Drosophila melanogaster: one gene and its partners. Each later gene encodes a partner of the first gene's protein in a complex. Each region holds a gene or a part of one and is shown in the gene's direction. Other genes may lie near its edges.

What was found. Proteins that work in one complex are often made in the same cells at the same time.
Region 2: eIF3c (region 1) and eIF3a share a complex: the UniProt entries of both Drosophila melanogaster proteins name them as parts of the eukaryotic translation initiation factor 3 (eIF-3) complex.
Region 3: eIF3c (region 1) and eIF3f1 share a complex: the UniProt entries of both Drosophila melanogaster proteins name them as parts of the eukaryotic translation initiation factor 3 (eIF-3) complex.

What each region holds. Positions count from the first base shown.
Region 1 is NT_033778.4:17,663,889-17,669,812, forward strand, and holds eIF3c (eukaryotic translation initiation factor 3 subunit c), read left to right. Parts: upstream 1-1,789; 5' UTR 1,790-1,928; intron 1,929-2,143; 5' UTR 2,144-2,178; coding exon 2,179-2,271; intron 2,272-2,333; coding exon 2,334-4,973; 3' UTR 4,974-5,097; exon of another isoform or gene 5,098-5,143; 3' UTR 5,144-5,387; downstream 5,388-5,924. Other genes in the region: CG30108 (uncharacterized protein), read left to right, coding at 5,598-5,744, 5,799-5,918. UniProt on the Drosophila melanogaster protein: Component of the eukaryotic translation initiation factor 3 (eIF-3) complex, which is involved in protein synthesis of a specialized repertoire of mRNAs and, together with other initiation factors, stimulates binding of mRNA and methionyl-tRNAi to the 40S ribosome.
Region 2 is NT_033777.3:4,429,259-4,435,669, reverse strand, and holds eIF3a (eukaryotic translation initiation factor 3 subunit a), read left to right. Parts: upstream 1-1,774; 5' UTR 1,775-1,922; coding exon 1,923-1,971; intron 1,972-2,068; coding exon 2,069-3,153; intron 3,154-3,203; coding exon 3,204-5,442; intron 5,443-5,501; coding exon 5,502-5,551; 3' UTR 5,552-5,872; downstream 5,873-6,411. Other genes in the region: CG1074 (uncharacterized protein), read right to left, coding at 1-163, 220-1,015, 1,484-1,609. UniProt on the Drosophila melanogaster protein: RNA-binding component of the eukaryotic translation initiation factor 3 (eIF-3) complex, which is involved in protein synthesis of a specialized repertoire of mRNAs and, together with other initiation factors, stimulates binding of mRNA and methionyl-tRNAi to the 40S ribosome.
Region 3 is NT_033777.3:4,712,343-4,715,942, reverse strand, and holds eIF3f1 (eukaryotic translation initiation factor 3 subunit f1), read left to right. Parts: upstream 1-1,760; 5' UTR 1,761-1,857; coding exon 1,858-2,700; 3' UTR 2,701-3,061; downstream 3,062-3,600. UniProt on the Drosophila melanogaster protein: Component of the eukaryotic translation initiation factor 3 (eIF-3) complex, which is involved in protein synthesis of a specialized repertoire of mRNAs and, together with other initiation factors, stimulates binding of mRNA and methionyl-tRNAi to the 40S ribosome.

The sequences.
Region 1 (5,924 bases):
AGTTTTGTAGTAAGCGGACATTAATTTTACAATATGCTCCATTATATTAAAATATCCATAGGAATTAAAATATTTTCAAATTGAGAGAAGGCAAATTATTAAAAATATAATATTATCGAATAAGAAATACTTTATTTCAGGAAAATATTTATCTAAATATAAAGCCATTTTTTCTGTGTAATGGATGATGACGAATTGAATGAAAAAGAAGTGCATCGGTTTTATCAATAAAAACTAAATTAAAATGGAGGCAGGAACGTGGGAGTAGTTATTAGGAATTATTCATTGAAATTGCGTAACTCAACATTTGTATTCAATCAACAGGAAATCTATGCTCGAGCAAGGGCAGAAATCGCATTTAAATGGAAATTTCTATAGTCTGTTTCGAGCATCGGTTTTGAAAATATCCAACCCATATATAGGATTTATGGGGCCGCACAAGCCGTAACAATCCAACGGAAAACGGAAGCAAAATAAACAGCACAAAAGCGTAACGGAAACAGAAACAGAACCCCAGGAAAAAGGGGCCCGTTTTTGCCGATTTGGATGTATGTAAATGCATATAAGCTTTTGCACCCACACACAATTTACGATTGCAGCTGCAGTTTCGGAGGAGTCAAGGAGCAGAAACCCGTACTATTTCACGGACCCTTTACGGATTCAAATGTCGATAGGCGGACAGGGAATTTATGGAGCTCTCATCAATTTCTCCGGATAATAAAGCCGCCATATGCACTCTCGAATGTCAGCTGTCGAAAAGCCAGGAAAAGGGCGATTACGCGAGATTAACCGATCAATTTTTAATTTGCCATTTCCGAGACCGCAGATACACACATCTCCATCAATCTGCAGTTATTATTTATTATGCTTACATTTGCGTTAAAGTGTTTTCCGTGTTACTCGTGTTTTCAAGCGATTCCGGGCGTCGCATCTCATTTAGGATGCCACTTAAACAGGATGTGGATGGGCAGAGCACATGCCACGCACACACCGCACACTTGGGCCAAATTTTGTTTACACCGCCAAGACACAACACAACACACAAGAATTCAAATGAATGAATTTATTGAATTCTTTTTAGCGGGCCGCAAAAGCACTTGAGACTCTATCGCCGGATATTGGCATCAACGCTGCCAAATCGCCGAGTACATCCGAAAAATTGAGTTTTTGAACTTGAACTGTCCGTCGGCGCGGAGGAGAGAACGCATGCGACTTGTTGGCGCGCGCGAAAACGTTTGGCTTGGTTTTGCTTTGGCCTTTCCTTGGCTGCCTGGCTGCATGTTGGCCGGACCAATTGATCCGGAGATTGGTTGGGGCGCCAGAATGGGAACCCCACTCTGTTTGGCTAAGAAATGCCGGCACTTTTGCACGCAAGCGCAGCAACATGTTGCTGGCAACTTCAAATGTTGCAGGTCACCAATGCAACATCTATGTAAGCATTGATCACTGATTATCTTTTTAACATTATTTTGAATAGTTACTTAAATGGCCACTATTTCATTTTGATGATATATTTGCTATGTAATTTAATGGATTTATTTTAAATGTACCGCCCAACCGGTTACTTGATATCGATATATCTCGAGAAGTGCCGGCATTTCGTTATCGATGAGTACGCGCTCGCATTCAGTCAAAACAGTGACTCCCTTAGAGATGGGATAGATTTCGGTAACTGTTGGTCCGCCACATAAAAAAACAAATGTTCTGTTACATTTAAAAAAATGTTTAAAACGCTCTCCTTACGAATATTAGTAGAGAGTAATCATTTCTCAACATGACAGTTATTATTAATACATAAATCAAACGCCCCGCCCCGTGACTTTGAGCAATATATATCGCCAACGAAAACACATGCAACCATCGCCCATCTCTAGTCTCTCTTTTTGATGTCTTGTGCATTCGACATCGTTTAGTTTTGCTGTAAAATAGTAAGTTTATTGTGAAATATCAAACGCCAGGTGGTAGTAAACACTTAAAAAGCAAGGCAGTGAACCGATTTCTGCCAGGGCTTCGAATGAAACAACCAAATGTCATGCGGAAATATTTGGCATACGTTTTTGCAAAACGCCATGTTGGCCGCTCAAACATAACCTCAACAAAGCAAAATCTTATGTGGCCCGAAACTAATAAATTGTGATTCCAGGCGCAGACAAACGGCCGCGTAGAAAGTCAACAAAGATGTCGCGTTTCTTTGCCAACGGGTCCGAATCGGAGTCCGAGTCCAGCGAGGAGGAGATCCAAGCGACCAACTTCAACAAAGCCAGCGCCTTCGTAAGTGCCGCCCAGATGTGAAACTCATCCATTACTAATCTATTCCTTTCCGTGGAAAACAGCAATTCAGCGACGATGAGGAGGAGGTCAAGCGCGTGGTCCGCTCCACGAAGGAGAAGCGTTACGAGAACCTCACCAGCATCATCAAAACCATTCGCAACCACAAGAAAATCAAGGATATTCCCAATACCCTGAGCAGCTTCGAGGATCTGACGCGCGCCTACCAGAAGGCACTGCCGGTCATCTCAAAGGAGGAGAACGGCATTACGCCGCGATTTTACATTCGCTGCCTGGCCGAGCTGGAGGACTTCATCAACGAGGTGTGGGAGGATCGCGAGGGCAGGAAAAACCTTTCCAAGAACAACTCCAAGTCGCTGGGCACTTTGCGCCAGAAGGTACGCAAGTACATCAAGGACTTCGAGGACGATCTGTCGCGTTTCCGTGAAGCACCCGACCAGGAGAGCGAGGCCGAGGACGAGGTGGTTGCCCTGGAGAGCGACGGCGGCGATGCTGGTGATGACAGCGACGCCGGAGTGAAGCCTACAGAAGCGGTTCCGAAAGCTGTGAAGTCCGCGCCGGCAAAGGCTGCGCCCGCCGATGATGACGATTCCGATGACTCCATTGATTGGGACTCGGACTCTGAATCGGAGACCGAGTCCTCTGACGATGAGAACCAGTATCAGAACATGCGCGAGCGATTCTTGAAGCGTACTACCGAAAAGGAGGAAAAGGATGATGACAAGAGGAAGGACAAGCGTAAGGAGCAGAAGACCAAGATCCGCAAGCGCGCCGAGGACGATGAAGATGGCGAGTGGGAGACTGTGGTCAAGGGTCATGTAGTAGAGAAGCCCAAGATGTTCGAAAAGGACGCAGAGATCGATGTTCCCCTAGTGCTGGCCAAGCTGTTGGAAATTATGTCGGCTCGCGGCAAGAAGCGCACCGATCGCCGTCTGCAGATCGATCTGCTTTTCGAGTTGAGGGACATCTCTGATCAGCACAACCTGGGAACCGCCGTCTCCGTGAAGATTCATTTTAACATCATCTCGGCTATCTACGATTACAACCAGAAGATTTCCGAGCCCATGAAGCTAGAACACTGGGCCCTGCTTCTGGAGGTAATGCAGAGCATGATGAAGCTCCTGCTGGCCAACGCCGACATTATTATGAGCGAGAGCGTGGCCGAGGAGCATGAGGAGTACGCTACGTCACCGTTTTATGTGAGGGGATGCCCACTGGCTGCCGTGGAGCGCCTGGATGACGAATTTGTTAAGCTGCTGAAGGAATGCGATCCACACTCCAACGACTACGTGTCCCGGCTGAAGGACGAGGTGAACGTGGTTAAGACTATTGAACTGGTGCTGCAGTATTTCGAGCGCTCTGGCACCAACAACGAGCGCTGTCGCATCTACCTGCGCAAGATCGAACATCTCTACTATAAGTTCGATCCGGAGGTGCTGAAGAAGAAGCGCGGTGAGCTGCCAGCCACTACCTCCACCTCCGTAGACGTGATGGATAAGCTGTGCAAATTCATCTACGCTAAGGACGATACGGATCGTATCCGTACGAGGGCCATCCTGGCGCACATCTACCATCATGCTATGCACGACAACTGGTTCCAGGCCCGTGATTTGGTGCTGATGTCTCATCTGCAGGACAACATTGATGCCGCCGATCCCGCCACCCGCATCCTGTACAACCGTATGATGGCCAATCTGGGTCTGTGTGCCTTCCGCCAGGGCAACGTCAAGGATGCGCATCACTGTCTAGTGGACTTGATGGTCACCGGCAAGCCCAAGGAGCTGCTCGCTCAAGGACTGCTGCCTCAGCGCCAGCACGAGCGATCTGCCGAGCAGGAGAAAATCGAGAAGCAACGCCAGATGCCATTCCATATGCACATCAACCTTGAGTTGCTTGAATGTGTCTACCTGGTGTCCGCTATGCTGCTCGAAATTCCTTACATTGCCGCCCATGAATTCGACGCCCGCCGCCGCATGATCAGTAAGACCTTCTACCAGCAGTTGCGTTCCTCGGAGCGTCAATCACTGGTGGGTCCACCAGAGTCGATGCGTGAGCATGTCGTGGCTGCTGCCAAGGCTATGCGTTGCGGCAACTGGCAGGCGTGTGCCAACTTCATTGTCAACAAGAAGATGAACACGAAAGTGTGGGACCTCTTCTACGAGTCTGATCGCGTGCGCGAGATGCTGACCAAGTTCATTAAGGAAGAATCGCTGCGCACCTACCTGTTCACCTACTCGAACGTCTACACCTCGATCAGCATTCCTTCGCTGGCGCAGATGTACGAGCTGCCCGTGCCGAAAGTGCACTCCATCATCAGTAAGATGATCATCAACGAGGAGCTCATGGCCAGCCTGGACGATCCATCCGAAACCGTGGGTATGCATCGTTCGGAGCCATCGCGTCTTCAGGCCCTGGCCATGCAATTCGTGGACAAGGTCACAAATCTGGTGGACGTCAACGAAAAGGTGTTCGACATGAAGCAGGGCAACTTCTTCCAGCGCGGCAACATGGGCAATCGCGGTGACCGTGGCTACAACCGCAACCAGAACAACCAGGGCGGCAATTGGCTCGGCCAGCGGCGGGATCGCAACAACCGGAACCGTAACCAGCGCGGGCACCACAAGAACAACCAAGATAGGCAGCAGCAGCAACAGCAACAAGTCCAAACGATCGACGAGGAGTAGACGTTGCTGCAACCTCAGCCCATCCTCTCTAGCGAGCGTTAGCTTAAACATCAGCAAAACTTAAACAGATCAAATTTGTAGCACTTCGACTATTAAAATGGAATGGCCATGGACAACACGTTGGGTCACATGCTTTCAGGCCTCCGATTCGGTTTCAGGCTGGGTCGGAGGTCTGTTTTTATCATGTCCATTGCATATTGTTGTAGCCAAGTCACACGAACATTTGTTTCAGCGCTCATTACGTTAAATGATAATACTAATAACTACATTTTGTATGAACCCAAAACCGAAAAAGAAACCTTAAAAACAAGAGACACAAAATCAGTGACTTTTTTTTGCAAATTTTTACCAACAACTAATATTAAATTTATATGTACTAACAAGAGTATTATTTTAGTCGGCTTAACACTTTGGCTTTTGAAAATTTAAGAAAACTAAGAATAACATTTGAATTTCGATGACAAGCTTCGTTTTCTGCAAAACTTCGGATATCGATATGCTCTTTTTTTCTCACATCTCTGAAACCTTTTCTTCAGTAGTACCGTTCGACGTACCTTTGTCACATTTTTTCGGAACTCTATAATAGGCATTATAAATTAAAACCAAAATATACCTAGTAAACAAATGAGCAGCGTTGGCGAGGATTGCAACGAGCTGAAGCAGCAGTACGATGCCTGTTTCAACAGCTGGTTTTCTGAACGCTTCCTAAAAGGTCAAATGGATGACTCAGCGTGTGCTCCGATTTTCCGGGTTTATCAGGAATGCGTCAAGGTGAGCTAATCGGCTCCCTAACCACGTATGGTTTGACCAACCTGTAATCCCCAGCGCGCTATTAAGGAGAAGAAGATCGATTTGCAAGAGATAGATCCGATCTTCGAAACCGGGCTTGAGGAGAATAATGCGAATAGATCTGATGCAAAACAGCAGCAGGCGGGCGAAAGCTGACCCCGT
Region 2 (6,411 bases), on another chromosome or scaffold:
AGTTTTAGGTGCCTCGCAGAGAACTCGAGAAGATCCCCATAGAGACTCTGCAAGGAATAGTGCGACGTTGATGGGTAATGCACCATGCTGTCACTTCTAGTGTTGGCCTTTACGCTAGCCTTTTTCTCCACCTTTTCCGTGGCCTCTCTTATTCCATAGGGAGCTTAAATTACCAAAGAATGAACATTTTAAGTTTGGTATAAAAAAGAATAAACCTACGATCTGTTATTATGCAGTCGAACGAGATGCGGGAATGCCACACCGGGTTGGAGAAATCGGCCACCACCACATCCATGTAGCGATCAGCGCAGCCGTACTGCTTCAAGTTGGCCCGAATGCTCTCGTCCTTCTCCCGCACTTTTTGGGTTATCCGGCTCGGCCGGCAGCGGGCGTGCACCATCATGTAGTCTATGTCCGCTCCCAGGACATACCCGCCCCACTTGGCGGCGCTTACCAAAAGCGAGCCCGTTCCCACAAACGGATCAAATACCAGATCCCCATTGCGTACCATCGCTTGGTTGGCCATTAGCAGGCTCAGCTGGGCGTCCATGCTGGTGTTACCGATAAACTTACGATGCTTCAGCGAAAGCTCCTTGATCAAATGCCGCTGACCATGGGCCATCAGCCGACCAAACAGAATGTCCTCCGGCTCAGGTGGCACAGCCGTTGGATCCAAGCCCCAAAACTCGATGTACCACCACTCCACCACGGGTTTCTCCAGATTGACCGTTCCCTCTATTGGCAGGTAATCCATGGACTCGATTTTCTCAACCTTTTCCCTCTGGCTGAAGTGCTTGTTGTAGGTCTCCACAACGATCTTAAAACTGGCATCCACCCGAAAGTATTCCGCAAGCGAATGCCAGTTCGCGGTAACATGATTCCGTAGCCTCTGGTGAAACTCGGGTAATTTGTTGGAGTGGGCGTAGAGCTCGAACATGGCGCGCAACGAAACGGACCTGGATGCATATAGCAACGCAGTATCCGTGTCCCGAAATTCGACCAACCAAAATGGTTTCTGTAATACCGAAATTAAAAAATATAAATATAACTATATATGCTGATGCTTCTATACTACAGAAGTATTTATATATGTGTCGCAAGCTCTAAAAATAATGTAATCAAAGTATCCTACACTAAAAACATCTAACAGGTACGCGGATCGTATTCGTAATGTATGTATACCAGGTATCAGGTATCCTTTCGAAACCTTTTAGGTTTTGTAGTTCCTGAGATCTCAACGATCGTATATAATTTATAGCTAGTAATGCTAAATTTCTACCTGTTGAAAACACTTTTGAAAATATAGTTTACTATTTTCTTCCTCTTACAAATACATATAAAATTTTTTTACGTTAAAAATATTAAACATATTAATAAAATTCCAAGTTTGGATATAACATTAAACCACAGGTTTTAAAAGTTATAGGGGAGGTGGAATTTGTTAATCTTGCGTTTTCAAAATTCTGGTACTAAAACACTTTACCCTGGTGTGTTCTGTAAGCCGCCGGACCTGAAGTCCAAACATTTTGACCAGCGAATCAAACTCCTGCACGCGAAAGTCGACATGCTCCTGGGCGAACCACAAGATAAACTTCCTCCAGTTGACCATGTCGCTATTTTAATTAATGAATTGTTTATTTATATTCTAGAGCGACTTCATTACTCCTCGTGTTATTGCTGTGAGCTAGCGGAGTTGCACTGCGATTAGCTGACCATCGGCAACTATCGGCCTGAACTATCGATAACGCAGCCAGGTGTAGCCCTGCGTGCCGTCGACTCGGCCATTTTGCATTAATATTGCAGCCACACGTAGGCGAGCCGAAGATTTATACAATTTTCAGCAGCCCCAGGTCTCAAAACGCTCCAGACCTGCTATCAAAATCAACTTGAAGTGCCGCCGCAAGTAAGTAAAGCGATCGGAAATGGCCCGCTATACGCAACGTCCGGAAAACGCCCTAAAAAGGGCTAATGGTGAGTGCTGAAAATTTTCCATGCGGTGTCTGAAGAGAAACTTTCGTCTTCGCGAATCGTGTGCTCTCTTAACTCGACGCCGCTCTCTTCGTCACAGAGTTCATTGAAGTGGGAAAGCCGCTTAGGGCGCTGGACACGCTGCAGGAAGTTTTCCGGAACAAGCGATGGAACTATGCCTACTCGGAGACGGTCATCGAACCGCTCATGTTCAAGTACCTGTACCTCTGCGTGGAACTCAAGAAGTCGCACATCGCCAAGGAGGGACTATTCCAGTACCGGAACATGTTCCAGCTGGTGAACGTGAACTCTCTGGAAAATGTAATCCGCGGCTACCTGAAAATGGCCGAAGAGCACACAGAGGCTGCCCAAGCCCAGTCCTCGGCGGCCGTTGCTGTTCTGGAGCTGGATGACCTGGACAACATTGCCACGCCAGAGAGCATCCTAATGAGCGCAGTGTGTGGCGAGGACGCACAGGACCGCTCCGACCGCACTATTCTGCTCCCGTGGGTCAAGTTCCTGTGGGAGTCCTACTGCCAGTGTCTAGAGCTGCTGCGCGTAAACACGCATTGCGAGGCGCTGTACCACGATATCGCTCGCATGGCCTTCCAGTTCTGCCTTAAGTACAACCGCAAGAGCGAGTTTCGCCGCTTGTGCGACAAGCTGCGCAAACACTTGGAGGACATTTGCAAGAGCAGCAACCAGACCACCGGTGTCTCGATCAACAAGGTGGAAACGCAGCAGCTCTGCTTGGACACCAGGTTGTACCTTCTTGACTCGGCCATCCAGATGGAGCTGTGGCAAGAGGCCTACAAGGCAATCGAGGATATCCATGGCCTGATGGCTCTGTCCAAGAAGACACCCGTGCCCAAAACCATGGCCAACTACTACCAAAAATTAGCCATGGTCTTTAGCAAGGCCGGCAACCAGTTGTTCCACGCTGCAGCGCTGCTGAAGCTCTTCCAGCTGACGCGCGAGCTGAAGAAGAACCTGACGAAGGACGACTTGCAGCGTATGGCTGCCCACGTTCTCCTGGCCACTCTTTCTATTCCGTTGCCTTCGGCCCATCCAGAGTTCGACAGGTTTATTGAGGCGGACAAGAGCCCCCTGGAGAAGGCGCAGAAGTTGGCCGTGCTTTTGGGCCTGCCCCAGCCACCTACTCGCGTCTCCCTTATTCGTGAAGTGGTAAGTATCACGCAATATAGTAATGACTTATGACTAATTCATAAACACAGGTGCGCTTGAATGTTCCTCAACTCGTATCTGAGGACTTTCGCAATCTATACAACTGGTTGGAGGTGGATTTCAACCCACTGAATCTGTGCAAGCGCATTCAGTCTATCGTGGACTTCATTGAGAACGGGCCCGAAAACGCTCTGCTCACTCCTTACATTCAATCGCTGAAGGACGTGACTATAATGCGTCTGATTCGTCAGATCTCTCAGGTTTATGAGAGTATTAAGTTCCAGCGTCTCTTGCAGCTGGCCAGTTTTTGCAACATTTTTGAATTGGAAAAACTGCTGGTCGAGTCCGTGCGTCACAATGACATGCAGATTCGTATTGACCACCAGAAGAACAGTATCTATTTCGGCACTGATCTGACCGAGAGTCAACGCGAGTACCGCCCCGACGGACCCGCTTTGCAATCGATGCCCTCGGAACAGATCCGCTCTCAGTTGGTTAATATGTCTACTGTTCTGACACGGGCAGTTTCAATCGTCTACCCGAACCGTGAACGTGACCAGCGGGCCAAGCTCCGCAACCAGATGGTAAACCATTACCATGAGATCAAGGATCGCGAGCACCAGCGTATTCTTCAGCGACAGAAGATCATCGAGGACAGAAAGGAGTACATCGAGAAGCAGAATAATGCTCGTGAAGAGGAAGAGGCGCGGCGTCAGGAGGAGGAATCGCGGAAGGCCAAACTGGCCGAACAGAAGCGCCTCGAGCAGGAGCAAGAAGAAAGAGAGCGCAAGCGCCATCAGAACGAAATCCAAGCCATCCGGGAGAAGAGTCTCAAGGAGAAGGTTCAGCAAATCTCGCAGACGGCTCATGGTAAGAAGATGCTTTCCAAGCTGGATGAGGAAGGCATTAAGAAGTTGGACGCCGAGCAGATCGCCAAGCGGGAAAGCGAGGAACTTCAGCGCGAGGCCAAGGAACTGCAGTCGAAACTCAAATCGCAAGAGAAGAAAATCGACTACTTCGAACGCGCCAAGCGCCTGGAGGAGATACCGCTTTTCGAAAAATACTTGGCCGAAAAGCAGGTTAAGGACAAGGAGTTCTGGGAAGCAACCGAGAAGACACGCATCGAGAATGCCATTGCCGAACGGAAGGATGCCGTCGCCCAGCAGGAGCGTCTCAAGCGCATGTATCCGGACCGGGATGAATTCCTTGAGGCCCTTAAAAAAGAACGTGCCTCCCTCTACGTCGAAAAGCTCAAAAAGTTTGAGGCTGCTCTGGAGGCAGAGCGCAAAAAGCGCTTAGCCGACCGCATTATTCGACGCCGCGAGGAGCGCCGACAGGCCTTCCTTCGCGAGAAAGAGGAGGAGCGTCTTCGCAAGGAGGAAGAGATTCGCTTGGCACAGGCTGCCGAAGAGCGCGCCGCAGCAGAAGCCCGCCGTTTGGAGCGTGAGGCTGAGGACGAAAAGCGTCGTGCCCAATACGAAAAGCAGCGTGCCAAGGAGGAGGAAGCTGAGCGTAAAATCAAGGAAGATCGAGACCGCCTGTCCAGGGAGTTGGCCTCGGAGCGCGAACGCACTGAAAAGGACCGTGACACATGGCGTCCTCGAGGCGGTGACCGTCCAAGCGCATCTAACGGCGGATCCAGCGAGTGGCGTCGTGCTGCACCTGCGGCCAGTGAACGCAACGACCGTGGTGGCGAGCGTATCGAGCGCGGAGGAGAACGGATCGAGCGCGGTGGAGAACGCCTCGAGCGTGGTGGAGAGCGCATTGAACGAGGCGGTGACCGTGACCGCAAGGACAACGAGGGAGCGGACTCCTCTTGGCGTGTGCGACGAGAGCCAGATTCACAGCGTGCAGCTGCTCCCAAAGACAGTGGCGCTCCGCAATCGCGCGATGACAAGTGGCGGCGTGGCGGAGAACGTGACCGCGATTTCCGCATTGATGGGGCTCGTCGCGACAGGGATGATGGGCCTCGGCGTGACCGTGACGATGGTCCTCGCCGGGATCGTGACGATGAGCGCGGTGGATTCCGCCGCGCCGACGGGGCGCGTCGTACCGACGAGCCTCAGCGGGAAACTGGAGGGAACTGGCGCGACGCTCCACGCCACGCTGATCGGGAAACCCGTCGCCCAGCTGAGAGGCGCGACCGAGATGTGCGCGAGACTCGTGGCGATCAACGCGGCTCTGCTCCTAAGGAGGCAGCCAGTGGCGGAGTAGGCGGAAACTGGCGTACTGCTCCTGCGACCCGTGAGGAAAAACCAGCAGCTAAGCGCGATCAAGCCCAGGAAAAGGGTAAGTAATCTCAGCAGCAAACCTAATTTCCATTCTTATCAATGCGTTACATCTTTCAGAGAACAAAGCTGGCGATGATGGCGAGTGGACCAGCGTTAAGCGTCGTTAATTTTTATTTTCATCATCGTATATACCCAGCATAATATTCTTAATAAGTTTTTATTTCATCCGACTTGTACTTTATTGGTGTAGAGCTCAGTCGGCCGGTATATTATATCTATCTATCCAAAGCTTGTGCCAGATAGTTAAAATTGAGATGGTTGTAGGACCGATACTAATTAAAGTACTTTCGAATAAAATAACTATGTTCTAAAAAATTGAAAAGTGAAATTGTCGAATGAGAACCTTGGGAATCAAAGAAATGAAAAGTGGTTATTATTGGTTTAATTCAAAAATTCTAATTCTTATTTATCAGATTTCAGGATGAACCAAGCTTCCCTTATACGTACAGTGATTTATAAACCAGTCCCTTTAAATTTATATTTCGACAGAGCTAAAACTACATTAAAATGTAGTTTGCAAACTAAACAAATGCGGGTTCTTCTATAGTTTTACAAAGTTCGTTCTTGGAAGCGTGGCTTTTTAACATTAGGTTTTTTAATTGCCCATAAATAAAAAATGCATTCAAAAGTATTGTAAATTGTATTATCACATACGCTTGACTTATTTTAAAAAAGTGACATCTTTCTTAGGTAAAACCATATTCGTTGGGAATAAATTCGAGTAAATTTAGAAAAGCTTTTATAGCAAGCAAAACAAAAATATTCTGCCTCTGAAAATTTGCCTCGATAATATGAGCCCGCGCCTTCTTCGCACACTCAACTAGTATTTTCTTGCGAACTTGGCACTAATGCCATGGCCTCGCGGATCCTCCGCGGTGCGCGCCCCTGGTCACACTGTCTGTGCCGCTGCCGCGAATCTCGGTCCACGTGAACAAATTTTGGACAATGTGCTATACGGTACTCATGA
Region 3 (3,600 bases), on another chromosome or scaffold:
TTTTGCTTAATTAAACGCATTTTTTTTATAAAATATAATTAAACAATATTTATTTTACTTATAAATCAAAAAACAAATTAAAAATATTAAATATACAAGAAAAAAAACAACAAATTCCAAGTTTAAACACTTTTGAGACTGTCAAGAAACTCTTTACACAAAACACTAAATCGATGTTTAATCCTAAATTTTTAAATTATTTTATTAAAATTTTAAAAGTTTTGGTATGTAGTATGTTCCCCATTGGCTTTAGCTACAAGTTGAAGCCCTTTTTTCATGGAATGGACAAGTTTTTGCAGGTCATATTCAAACGGGATCTTTTCACACTCTTCGACTATTACAGTCATAAGCTGTTGTCGTGTTTTAGGTCCCTTTTTGCCACCTTCTTCTTTAAGTAGGTCCACAAATTTTAAATGGGGTTCAGATCAGGACTCTGAGGGGGCGTATCGATCACTTTACCACAGTTATAAGGGCGCCAGGTGCGTACATTGCACTCTTTATGTTTCTGATCATGTCCTCTTAAAATATAAAATTTGGCTTGTTGTTGCTAACTAGACCAAATTTTTCTGCACCGGCCTTCAAATTTGTTTTTTAAGATTCCTAGATATTGCACGGCATTTATTGTGCTCTAAATTAAGGCTAGTTTTCCCACTCCATGGCTGGTGATACAGCCACAAACCATCAGTGACATTTTTCCAAATTTTATCGTTGGAATGATATTTTGTTTTTCTAGCGCACTCAGCGGTTTGCGCCATACTCTGCTTGGCCCGTCGTTATAAAAGAGCATAATTTTTGTTTCGTCACCAAATATGACGTCATCCCAGTACTCTTCTGGATGATCCACCTTGTTCACAGCGAATTAATGACGCTTTTCCATATTGGCATCTGATAGCAAAGGATTTTTCCTCGCAACTCTTGAAGAGTATCTATGGCGTAGGATGACTTGGCGCACAGTTTCGTGTGACACAGTTAGGTGACACTCTTGCCTGATATCCAGAGCAAGTGATCTGACCGGGGGTTCGCAATCTCTATTCGCATAATAAAGCGGTCTACACGCTTTTTAATTTTAATTTTCCGCCCACCACCACTCTTAGGTTCAAGCCTGTCCTCTTTTTCCGAGCCTTTTAAAAAATAGTAGACGGTCTTACGGGATACAGAAAACATTTATACTTATTCTGGAAAAGATTTTCCCAACTGGTGGTTATAGTTTATTAATTGGGTAACTTCAAAGTTTATCTCTTTCCAGGCATTTTATTAAATTTAATAATTCGCTTTAAGCACGTTTGATCAGCAAAATTTCACAAGCAAGATTGAGTAGTAGAATGTAACCGACATTTTGTTATTGATCCGTTATGTTAAGAATGAGCAGCGAGCAATGAAATTCACGGAAAGCGTTCCGTTATTGAGTGGGCATCATTTGTGTGGCTGTTGTTGTTGTTGTATAGTTTCTGGAAACGAAGTAAGGATGAAATAATTGAGTGAAGGTGAGGAATAGAAGAAAAGCATCGCGAAGGCGACGCTTGAGTAAATTAGTCTGCTTAGAACGACAGAAGAAACAACACGCAGGCGACTTGATGTGCTGGACAATATGGACGCTGAAGTAAATGAAAAGTCGCGCTTGGCATCTCCGACATATTCAAATTTGAATAGTATTTGATTAACTAACGCTAGCCACCGGTTTTACATCGATAAAACGATAGGCCACGCACGACCGCACCGATAGCTCCAAAAGCCATCAACCCCCACCCGCACTATCGATAGGCCCTTTTCTTGCATCCCTAAAACATACGCGCAGCGTGGCTGAATAGAAATTATTGCGGAAATTTTCCTTGCAAATCTTGGCCACCGAAAATTACCATGTCGGCTCTCAATCTGACCGTGCGCGTGCACCCGGTGGTGCTTTTCCAGGTGGTGGACGCCTTCGAGCGGCGGAACGCGGACTCGCACCGCGTCATCGGCACCCTGCTCGGCTCTGTGGACAAAGGTGTGGTGGAGGTTACCAACTGTTTCTGTGTGCCGCACAAGGAGCACGATGACCAGGTGGAGGCAGAGCTGAGCTACGCCCTGGACATGTACGACCTCAACCGCAAGGTGAACTCCAACGAGAGCGTGGTAGGCTGGTGGGCCACCGGCAACGACGTTACCAACCACAGCTCGGTGATCCACGAGTATTACGCCCGCGAATGCAACAACCCGGTTCACCTCACCGTGGACACTTCGCTGCAGGGCGGACGTATGGGTCTGCGTGCTTATGTCTGCATTCAACTAGGAGTTCCCGGCGGCAAGAGCGGCTGCATGTTCACGCCCATTCCTGTCGAGCTGACCAGCTACGAGCCGGAGACATTTGGGCTCAAGCTGCTTCAGAAGACCGTAGGCGTTTCGCCCGCTCACCGTCCCAAGACCGTTCCGCCAATGCTGGACCTGGCCCAAATCTCGGAGGCCTCCACGAAGCTGCAGTCCCTGCTGGATCTTATTCTCAAGTACGTTGACGACGTGATCGCTCACAAGGTAACCCCCGACAACGCCGTCGGACGCCAGCTGCTAGACCTTATCCACTCCGTGCCGCACATGACCCACGAGCAGTTCACTCAGATGTTCAACGCCAACGTACGCAACCTTCTGCTGGTCATCACGCTCTCCCAGCTCATCAAAACCCAGCTGCAGCTTAACGAAAAGCTCACCTTCCTGCCCACCGCCTAGAACGACGGCGTTTGTTGAAGTGGTAATATCTACTAAGGGTGGCATTGTAAACTGATTGTGTTTTTTATCAATGGGGGTCTACGTAATAAAGTGCTCTGATCGCCAAAAAAAAAAACCAAAACTTGTATCGATTACTCTGGTCAGAATGACATTCCATACTAAAGAAAATATATATGGGATTATCTTTTTTATAACTCAATTGAAGAATCAGCATGAATCCTGTGACACCTACACTAAACGACCATGTGGCGTTTGTAGGAGCATTCGAATCTACTGAAGACTCTTAAACACAACAGTATTCATCACCAGGAACAAAATAAATGCATGTGCAACTGAAAATTTAGCACCCAACTGCTAAAACAAAATGTTGTGTTTCAGTCTTTGGTGAGCTTCACTATTCTATAGGGTTTCAGGGAGTCGCATCGGTGCTGGGTTTATTGTAAGAATAGTAATATTTATATTCTTTAATATCAAACTTTGATGATCGTACCTTCGGCACACAAAAGTTATAATATCAAATTTTGTGACGAAATATGACAACACATTCTATTAAAAACTAGTTTCTTACATTTTATAACCAGCACCTCGTTGCATCATATGCGTTACTTAACTTTCAATTGTTTGGTAGCACCAGGATAAACTTGAGCTACGCCTACACTTTTCTGTGCAATCTGCATCCTTAATCTTCTAGCATTTATAGTTCATGAGATCTTGACGTTCATGCGGACAAACATGGCCAGATCGACTGCGCTGATTCTTGATCCTGGTGAAGAATAAAAGGTACTCTAAAGAGCATAAAAAAACACACTTTTCATATGAAAGAAGGACACAAAGGGGCTCCAAGATTTCCCCGTATGCCTTAATATATAAATTAATTAAAAAAAAAACTTTTCATATGAA